Linked DNA regions of Nothobranchius furzeri. The protein of the gene in region 2 purifies or fractionates together with the protein of the main gene of each other region. This does not show direct contact. Links are inferred from orthologs where the notes say so. Each region holds a gene or a part of one and is shown on either strand. Other genes may lie near its edges.

Evidence for each region.
Region 1: the proteins of snrpa1 (region 2) and sf3b5 purify together in Homo sapiens (affinity purification with mass spectrometry; 5 studies listed by BioGRID and IntAct, counting the BioPlex papers as one, with this or other methods). This does not show direct contact. The link is inferred for Nothobranchius furzeri from reciprocal best matches to the Homo sapiens genes SNRPA1 and SF3B5.

What each region holds. Positions count from the first base shown.
Region 1 is NC_091752.1:24,289,826-24,294,984, forward strand, and holds sf3b5 (splicing factor 3B subunit 5), read left to right. Parts: upstream 1-1,846; 5' UTR 1,847-1,959; intron 1,960-3,488; 5' UTR 3,489-3,503; coding exon 3,504-3,764; 3' UTR 3,765-4,050; downstream 4,051-5,159. UniProt on the Homo sapiens protein: Component of the 17S U2 SnRNP complex of the spliceosome, a large ribonucleoprotein complex that removes introns from transcribed pre-mRNAs.
Region 2 is NC_091749.1:6,236,693-6,241,795, reverse strand, and holds the start of snrpa1 (U2 small nuclear ribonucleoprotein A'), read left to right. Parts: upstream 1-1,719; 5' UTR 1,720-1,844; coding exon 1,845-1,926; intron 1,927-2,029; coding exon 2,030-2,177; intron 2,178-5,103. UniProt on the Homo sapiens protein: Involved in pre-mRNA splicing as component of the spliceosome. Associated with sn-RNP U2, where it contributes to the binding of stem loop IV of U2 snRNA.

The DNA.
Region 1 (5,159 bases), on a different chromosome or scaffold from region 2:
GCAGCCGTGCCCTTCTTGGCGTGACAGCGGAACGTCCCGAAGGTCCACTCATCTGTTCACCACTCAGACATCACGATCTTCTACCTTCCTAGATCATCCAACTGTAACCTGTTTCTGATCATGTCTTTAGTCCTGCTGTAACACTGATGCATCAGTCTCAGACATCATGGAGCTCAGGTGTTATTAGAACTTCCTGTGCGTCTTTACCACCCACCTTCAGCTCTTCTGTGTTTGGGTCTTACCCATGTTAGTACATTTAAGTCCTCCATCAGATTTGTGCCTCTTCTAGTGTCATTTTAAAGGATATTTGTTTGTTTATTTATTTCACCATTACTAGATTACCAGCAACAGAAATGCTACTAATAACACACAATTATGTGAAGCAGGAAAAATTAGAATGCTGTGCAAAATTACTTTTATTTCAGGAATTTCACTATACTGAGAGACCATTTAAAGGCTCAGGAACCTTTACAGTTGTTTATATTTGCAATTATAATTTTGAGCTGATTGGGGTCTTGTTAAATATCACACAGTGACATTTTAATAGTCTTGATTAATGTAATGTTCCTGTTTGTAGTTCCTCCTGTTAAGTGCCCATCTGTTTCAATTATTCAGTTTGATAAAAAAAAAACATTTTGACATACATTTTATTATGTTCCAGTCATTAGTCATTTATATTTCAGTATTGTAGTAATTTATAGTAAATTAAGTAAGTTTAATCAAGAGGGGAACCCATTTTTCTTGCATTCTTTAGTGAAAAAAAAGGTAACAAAATGTTTATTTTTCTTGGTGATTAGTTACTTTTAGTTACTTTTTGGACAACGACGTGATCAGTAACTATACCTAATTACTTTTTAAAAGTAACTTTCCCAACACTGACCATTAGCATTAGCAACCCCACCACACAGCAGAAGCTCCTCCAGGCTTGTGCTATCTGTAGAGACAAAACATCCACGTTGGATAACAACAACGCGACTCTACCATAACGTGGTAGTTTGTTTGTCCCAGTGTCCCTGTGATATCTTGTGGCCTGTCCAGGGTGTACTTTGCTAATGACTGCTGGGGAAAGACTGCTCCCTTTGACCCTAGTGAGGAAAAGCAGTCAAGATCATAGGTGAGTAATTTTTAACAAATATTTCAAAACATTTCTGAACCCAAATCTAACCATATTTTCATATTTTTCTGTCCCAATCATGGTTGCCATTAGCAACAGCTGGTAGATGGAAAATTAGGGTCATAACTCTACAGGCAGCAAACATGCTCAATGCAGAACATCATCAAACACATTATCCACAGAAAAAATTTCATTATACCAGCCACAGGAGAGCCCAGTGCTAAGCAATTCTGAGCAATTTAGTCTCGATGTGGCAATTTGAAAAATTGTACTGTGATTATTTGTTTTAAGATAAATGTTTTAAAACAACATGAATACATCAGTTTTGATGAAAAGTTTATCTCACTGCACAGGTACTCTAATGATTGCTGCAGACACTTGCATATTTATATCCTTAGAAAAAGCCAATAAATACTGCAGTCTATTTATTTGGAAGAAGACCAAGTAGTACTATTTGTTTTTAGAAGCATAAGAAAAACAATGGACGTATTCCCTTGAATGGTGTGGAATGATGATAGAGGCTACACACGAATTTAAAACATAAAAAAGAAAAGATTGCAACATAGACACAACCTATTTTCAATTAACCTACAAATAAACCAAAGAAAATAATAACTGTATTTAATGTACCCAGATTTTCTAAAAAAAAAAAAAAAAAAAAACTTTCTTTGAGTGAGTAAGAAGTACACTTTGACCAATGGAGCGGAATCAGAACAGTACGACATTTGTTCCTACCCGGATCATTTCATAGGGTAACGCGCCGGCAGTGGTCGTTTGTCAGTGCCTGAACGACTCAGAATTAATTTACCTGTTTTGTTTTAGTTCTTGATCTCTGTACACATTACGTAAGTGTTTTGTTCTTTTAAAACCAATTGATGTGAAGCTGAAGCTATTATTTGCCCTCCAGGGGAGCCTAAATTTAGACTTTTATTACACGAAGACCGACTAGCTAAGCTAAGCTACTGTTAGCATAAAGAGTGGAAGATCAAACGTTGTCCAACAAAGAAAATGTGTAAATAAAGGGCAACGACCGAATATTTGGAATTGTATTTTGTTTGTTAATATGTCAATGTTGATCATTTGGATAAAACTCACATAAATAACGGCGATTAAGGATTCGAATGCAGTGGAAAAATACACTGCATGAACGAATTAGATAACTTTGCTAACATCGTTAGCCTTTCCAATATATTTGAAATGTTCGTTTGTATTTTGCTTTAAATAATAGTCTTTTTGGGATGTTTAATGTTGGAGTGGTAGTTTTTAAGCTTTAATTCTGTCTTTTTCCCTAGTTGTCACCATACATCCAGATTAAAGTAGTCACCCACACGTTGCGTTATCAGTACTTAGTCCTGGGACCTTCTAAGGTTTTGTTGTTGCGTTTGTGTTGTCTTTTCTTTTGCTAAATCAAAAGCGCATGCGATCTGCTGATTGTGTCAATAAATAGTATCAATACTGTTAAGAAGTAGCTTTTGCTGCTACGATTAGCTGCAAATACTCGTTTATTTTGTTTGTCTGACCCAAATTAAAAAGAGACTGAGCTGGAGGTTTTTTTTCTTCTTTCCACCATTGTTGGAAATCAATGTTAAAAAGTCTGAAACTTTTTAGCTGTTCTAAAAGTTAAAACATGTAGAAAAGCAGTAGTGATGCACCGATATGACATTTTTGGGCTGATACCGATATCTGATATTGAGCTCACTGTTATGGCTGATAACTGATATTTGCCGGTACAGATATGCTGACATTAAAGCTGAATTTACATTATGTACACGCAACACACACATTTATGGGTCTGAGATTATTTCATTCACTGTTCACATGACTAAACAATTACACATCACCCCCCTCACCCTCTGAAACAGGCGAACAAATGGAGACGAGATGGAAAAAATATCGGCCTGGTTTTATTTATCGAGCCGATATGTTAAAAATTGACCAACATCGGCCGATACAGATATTGATGCTGATATATTGTTCATCCCTAGAAAGCAGCATTTTAAAAAGCTTTACCTGCTCAGTATGTGCCTTATACAACATCATACAGGCTAATGTGTGTATGGAGTTCTGACACAATGTAGTAAAAACAAGTGATGCTTTTTGCATCCCAGCATGAATTACGTACAGCATGCACACATTATCTTTTTAAGAATAACAGTACATCTTCATCTGGACACTGATGAAACCCCAAGTTTATTTTAAAACTTAAAGGACTTCTTTCCCTGGTGAATCAAACAAGATTGACCTTTACAAACAACATTGTACAAGAACAACGTCTAATGAATCAGCCTAATATTCTAGAAAATGTAGAATTTTTTTATATAAATGATTTTAAAGAACATCACGGGTGATGTTTTTCTATCCTTTCCCCATCCAGAGTCTTTGAGTGAAAATGACGGACCGATACAACATCCACAGTCAGCTGGAACATCTTCAATCAAAGTACATCGGCACAGGACATGCTGATACCAGCAAGTGGGAATGGCTGGTCAACCAACATCGTGACTCATATTGCTCCTACATGGGACACTTTGACCTGCTAAACTACTTCTCCGTGGCTGAGAATGAGAGCAAGGCCCGCGTTCGCTTCAATTTGATGGAGAAGATGCTTCAGCCATGTGGGCCCCCAGCAGACAAGCCCGATGATGCTTAAATAACTCCAGAGTGAGCTTTTGTCCCTGGAAATTCTTTTTTCTACCATTAAATCCTGTTTGACCCTATCAAAAATAATTGGATCATCCATTTATAGTAGTTTTGTTTGCATATGGACAGCACTGAGGCAAAACAAATTATTTCAAGATCTCAATGTTTACAAGAACGGTAAATGTGTCTAAGTGATGCACAATTATCTGTGAAGAGATTGAAGAGATTGATGATTACAATGTGCCCATGATAAGTTTTGCTTATTCATTAAAATTTGACCTTTTTCTACAATCTTATTTATTTTACAGCCAGCTATTCATCTATTCTTTCACAACACTTTTATTTGTCATCATTTGGATTGAATGTGATTTGGGTTTATTTGAATAAACATTCATAGGTGGCAGGTAGCCTTTTGAAGCCTTTTACTCTGAAATGCTGGTGTTTTTCAGCTACACCCAATACTTTTCTGCAATATTAAGAAAAAAAAGAGAATTTAATGCAGATAATCTTTATTTTATTATAGTTGTAGCAAAATGCTTTTACTCAACTACAACAATAACTGATGCACTGTGGTTCAAATGCTGAAACTGCTTATTTGCAGTAGGAAATTTCACGGAAGAAAATTATCTGAAAAATCAGTGGGTGAAATTTAGAAAAGTCCACCAAAAGGTGGTTGAAGAAAAAAAATAACGGTGTTAAAAACAACAGAACACAGGTTTATGATGTTATTAAAAATTGCCAAAAGACTGCTTTCAAAACCAGCCGACCTGCTTTTTCAAGACAAAACTGGGAACTGCTGACACACAAAAAGCTAGAATTTTTAAATTAAATTGCCTCAGAAACACAAATGTGACAGCTGTGTGCATGAAAAACCGCTAAATCCTGCTTTAAACAATTCACCTTCTTTGGTAACTTAAACTCCCTCTTATTAAACACAACTTTAATCAATAGTTTATGAAATCCATTGATAAGAAAATCAATTTACAAGCACAACGTATGGAGGTCTGTTACTGCCATTGAGAAAAAAGTTCAGAAATTAAGTCATAAGTATGTTTTTATTACCAAAAATATGAATCAGGATAAAGAAAAGAAAAGCAGTATAAATTCCTTAAATAAGATCAAAGTCACAGGTTTGTGATTCTACATAATAGTATGTAAAGACAATTACAACATATTGTGATGTCATAGTTGACTTTAAAATTTACATCGAGTGAGTCATGAAATCATAAATTAGACTTGAAAAGTAAAATGGAAGCAAACTAATTATTATGAAAAGCAAACTCATGAAATTAAAAGTCCTGACTTGAAAAAAGTGAAATATGACTTTGTAAATATACAACTCACTTTAAATTCATAATAATGAGTTAGAAAGTCACAATCTTGATGCTATCAGAGTACTTTTCCA
Region 2 (5,103 bases):
TGCGACCTGACTCCGGATAAGCGGATGAAAATGGATGGATGGACGGACGGATGGACGGACGGACGGACGGACGGACGGACGGACGGACGGATGGATGGATGGATGGATGGATGGATGGATGGATGGATGGACGGATGGATGGATGGATGGATGGATGGATGTTAAAAGGGCCTGCCATAAGCTATGGGGTTACAGGTTGCTCATCTTAGGTGTGTTCTTGCTGTGTCGTATCTCTAAGTCCATGCTGTAGTTCTTTTTTAAAATACAGAGCAGTTTTGTTGACCTGTTTTCCCGCTACGTTTCATTTGTGGCTGCAAACTTCCTCAGGCTGACGCTGATGGTGACGTCACTTCCTTCTCCGTTTATCCGTGGGCAGCAGAGGACGGGAGTAAGGGACCCTAAACATTAACACATATAGGAAACCAACACACACAGACCAATATCTATTATGGACATCAGAACACCCCACCATATACAAAATGTCAGTAATCAGAACATTATATCACCGAGCAAACATAATAACAGAAGAAAGAGACCGTAAACAAGAGGACAAACACATACAACATGCTTTAAAGACCTGCGGATACCCGACATGGGTAATAAACAAAGGAAAACAACAAACAACAACAGAAAGAAAAAAACAACCAAAGCAAAGAACCAGCAACCCAGAAAGCCAAGAACCAAAACCAGTGATAACCCTACCATACATTAAAGGCATAACAGAAAAAATAAGAGCAACAATGAAAAAACACAACATAAACACACCAACAAAACCATACACAACAGTTAGAAACAGACTAGTACACCCAAAAGACAAAATACTAGCTGGACTTAAATGTGGAGTCATTTACAAAATCCCATGCAAACTCTGCAATAAAACATACATAGGAGAAACCGGACGCCAACTCAACACACGAACAATAGAACATAGAAAGGAGTGCGAGAAAGAGGCAAGTCGAAAACACACAAGAGCAGCAAAAGAAGAAGCAGAAATCACAATAAAGAAGTCAGCCGTAACAGATCACTGCACAAGAGAAAACCATATAATGGACTGGGACAACACAAGGATCATAAACACCGAACAACAAAAATACAAAAGATGAATAAAAGAAGCTACCGAGATAAGGTGACGTGGATGTGGGACCATGAACAGGGACGATGGAGTTTACACGTTGGACCGCGCATGGGACTGCATCGTCGGAGAGGGGAGAGCGGGCAGCAGAGGGCGACAACATCCTCTGCTGCTCACGGATAAACAGAGAAGGAAGTGACGCCACCATCAGCGTCAGCCTGAGGAAGTTTGCAGCTGCAAACGAAATGTAGCGGGAAAACAGGTAAACAAAACTGTTTAAAAAAGAACTACAGCATGGAATTACAGGTTGCTGCTTTATTCATTTGCTGCTAGGCTATTCACACATATTTAAACAACTTAGCCCTGTTACCTTTTCCTTTAAATAAATGCAGCAAAAGCTTAGATTTTTTTCAGCATTTTCTCAGTCTGCCAACTTGGAGAAGTTTTACCAAACTGTGAAACTCCAGTAGGGAGACGAGCTGCAGCTCCTTAACAGGGACTTTTTATTGGGAAATATACTAAATTTAACATCTTATTGGCACAAATCTAATCCCATATACTCAACACCTACCTATGCACTGATGAGTGATCCAGCTCCACTCCAGGTGGGGCGCTGTAGCACCACTATTTACCACTGACTCGTCCTCGGACAAACCGGAAGTAGAAGAAGCTCTTGTTCTGGCGGCAGCGTGGAATACGTTAGCGTTTACCTCTCTGTGAAACTGTTTAGTTTGCTGTAGAAAGGTTACAAAAGCCCAAGTTCGTGTCCGACATGGTGAAGCTGTCTGCGGAGCTGATTGAGCAGGCTGCTCAGTACACCAACCCTGTGAGAGACAGAGAGCTGGATTTACGAGGTAAACTCGGGCCTTTACCCACGGCTAACTGACTAGGTTAGTGTTGTGTGTGTGTGTGTGTGTGTTTGTGTGCTAACCAGTGTTAGCTCTGCTTTATCTTTAGGTTATAAGATCCCAGTGGTGGAAAACCTCGGAGCTACTCTGGACCAGTTTGACACTGTAGATTTCTCTGATAATGAAGTGAGAAAACTGGACGGCTTCCCTTTGCTAAAGAGGCTGAAGACGCTGCTGATGAACAACAACAGGGTCTGGTAAGTCCCACTGCTCTGTGTGTCACCATGGTCCAGGTCTGCCCCTGAGCTGCACAGGTAGGGTCTGGATGATGGAGACGAGTAGGATCTGGGAACACTTCATGTTGATCCATATCAGTAATTATCGGAAATGTAGAAAATGTATTTTAAGTAACGTACTGGCCATCTTGTGCTACTCCTTAGTTAACTACCTTCAGTAAAGAACACACACTGTTTATTTAAACAGATGTTTTACTAGGATGCAGGTTTTCCAAGATTTGTTTAACCGGGTGTTGATGCCCCTCAACACAATCATTTGCCCCTGCTTCATAAATAACACTTTATATATAAGTCTGAGGCACAACTAGAGTCCCACACCCGTTACATTTGTGATCTAGTAAAGAGACAGTGGGATGACAGCTGAAATGTCCGTCAGACCTCTGGCATCCATTACTCAGAAGAGCATTCTGGAGGCCACGTTTTTAAAAACCACTTTAGCTTCCTTATATTGAACTAAATAATTTGACATTTATGTTGCTAGACTAATTAGGAGTCAGACGCAAGCAGCAGCGTCACGGCCGCCTGACCTTTTGCTGGTCACTCTTCAATGTGCTGTAGATTAAAACATTGGCGTAATCTGCGTTTAGTTGAGACGACGTCGGTGTGATGCAGCTGCTGTCAGGAAGACGTGTAGAACGGTACGACTCTGCATCAGTGGGGTCTGTAGTCACCCGCTCCAACATTTGCATACTTTTTGCTGCTAAAGTAATCTTTTGGAATAAATATTTAAAATGAAATATCAGTTTGAGTTTCTGCAAAATGAAAATAATTTTTTACCACGAGGTTTAGACGGTCCCTCTGCTCAGTGAAAAGCCAGCCCTGACAAAATGATTAAGTTATCAGGGATCGTCATATGAGAGTAATTCACAGAAAACCAAACATGAAAGTATGTGAAAATACTCCAGAATAGTGCAGTCATCCTTAACAAGTTATCGATGTGGTCTGATTAAATGTGTAGAAAGAGCTGCGGCGTCATCTCGGCTGGTTGCTTGAAGACTTTAATAAACCACTGCTAAAGGTAAAAACGCTGCTCTGACTCTTCAGTGCAGCAGAAGTGTTGGTTTTATGAAATTACCTCATCACCTGTTTCTGCTCCAGCGTCCTTAAATCTTCTGGTGCCCCGATCCATTTACTGGGTTTGTTTTAAACACAAGGCTAGTAGCATACAGGAGCCGATTCTGACCAGAAAAAAGTATTAGGGAATAGAAGAGACTTTATTGTTATTGTACAGCGACATTGGAGTGCCACTCCCTTTGGTGCAATTTGTAAAATAATACGGAATAAAATAAACGTAAAATCAACAGTAATATTTACAAATGTATAGAAAGAGTAGCAGCATCAGTCAGGTTCTGTGCAGGTTAAGCAGAATTTTAGCATATTGAGTAAACACTAATAGTAAGAGTAAACGTGTGGCTCGGGTTTACAGGCTCATCTGGTTTTGTGGTCGTTTGCTACTCTGGTAGCTCTGGGAAAGAAGCTATCCCTGGTTTTATGTGACCTGCACCATCAGCCTGACGGTAACGGGTCAAACAGATGGTTACTGGGGTGAGAGTAGTCCTCGATGTTCCTGCTCTACTGGGGTAATGAGAGTTGGCAATGTGCTTCAGGCTGGGCAGAGAGCATCCAGTGGTCTTCTGGGCTGTGCTGATGACCCTCTGCAGTACTTTCCTGTCTGCAGCTGAGCACCCTGCATACCATGTTGTGATGCCGTACGCTTGGATGCCCTTTGTGGTGGCTCTGTAGAATGTGACCAGCAGCCTCTCCTCCAGGTCGTTCCTTCTGAGCACTCTCATGAAGTTTTTACCACCGCTGTGGTGTTTGCAGTCCAGGAGAGATCATCAGAGATCTGCACGCCCAGAAAGCTCACGGAGTGCACCCTCTCCACACAGTCCCCGTGAATGTAAAGTAAGGCCGGGTCGGCCCTGCCCTTCCTGAAGTCCAAGATAAGTTCTTCAGTTTTTGTGGTGTTCAGTTGGAGGTTGTTTCCTGAACACCACACAGTCAGTCTGTTGACCTCATCTCTGTAGTCCCACTCATCCCCCCTTGAGATGAGTCCAACCACAGTGGTGTCATCCACAAACTTAATGATGGTGTTTGAGAGATGGGTCGGGGAGCAGTCGGATGTGTAAACGGGAGGGGACTCCGAACACATCCTTGTGGAGCGCCGGTGCTGGAGAGGTGGGGGCCGAGTCTGACAGACTTTGGTCTGTTTGTCAGGAAGTCCTTAATCCAGATGGGGGTGGAGAGTCCCAGGCGAGACAGTTTCTGGACCCGGATCTGTGGGATGGTGTAACTGAGCGCATTCTGACATGGCTTCCTTGGTGTTCCAGATGACTCAGCTCAGCGATGCACCGATATAAAAGTTTTGGGCTGATACCGATGTCTGATATTAAGATCACTATTATGGCCTATAATCTATATTTGCAGGTACCGATATACTGTCATTAATGCTTCTAAAATCAGCAGATTTTGTATAGAATGAAAATGATTCAAACTGAATTTACGTTATTATTTACACACACCACTCATTTACGGTTATGTGATGATTTCATTCACTGTTCACATGACTAAACAAACACACATCACCCCCTCATCCTCTGAAACAGGCAAACAAATGGAGACGAGATGGAAAAAAATATCGGTTGTTAATATCGGCCCGTTTTTTTTTTTATTGAACCGATGCCGATATTAGGGATGCACCGATGGATCGGCATTTGATCGTAATCGGCCGATAGCGCCCCTATCGGTTTTGATCGGAATTTTCAAAATAGATCAAAGCAAACCGATCAGGTAGGGTTGTCACGGTAACCAGTGTAGCGCTAAACCCCGGTAAAAAAAAAAAGTTGACAATAATAACCGTCTTGTTTTTATAAAACTATATTATCTT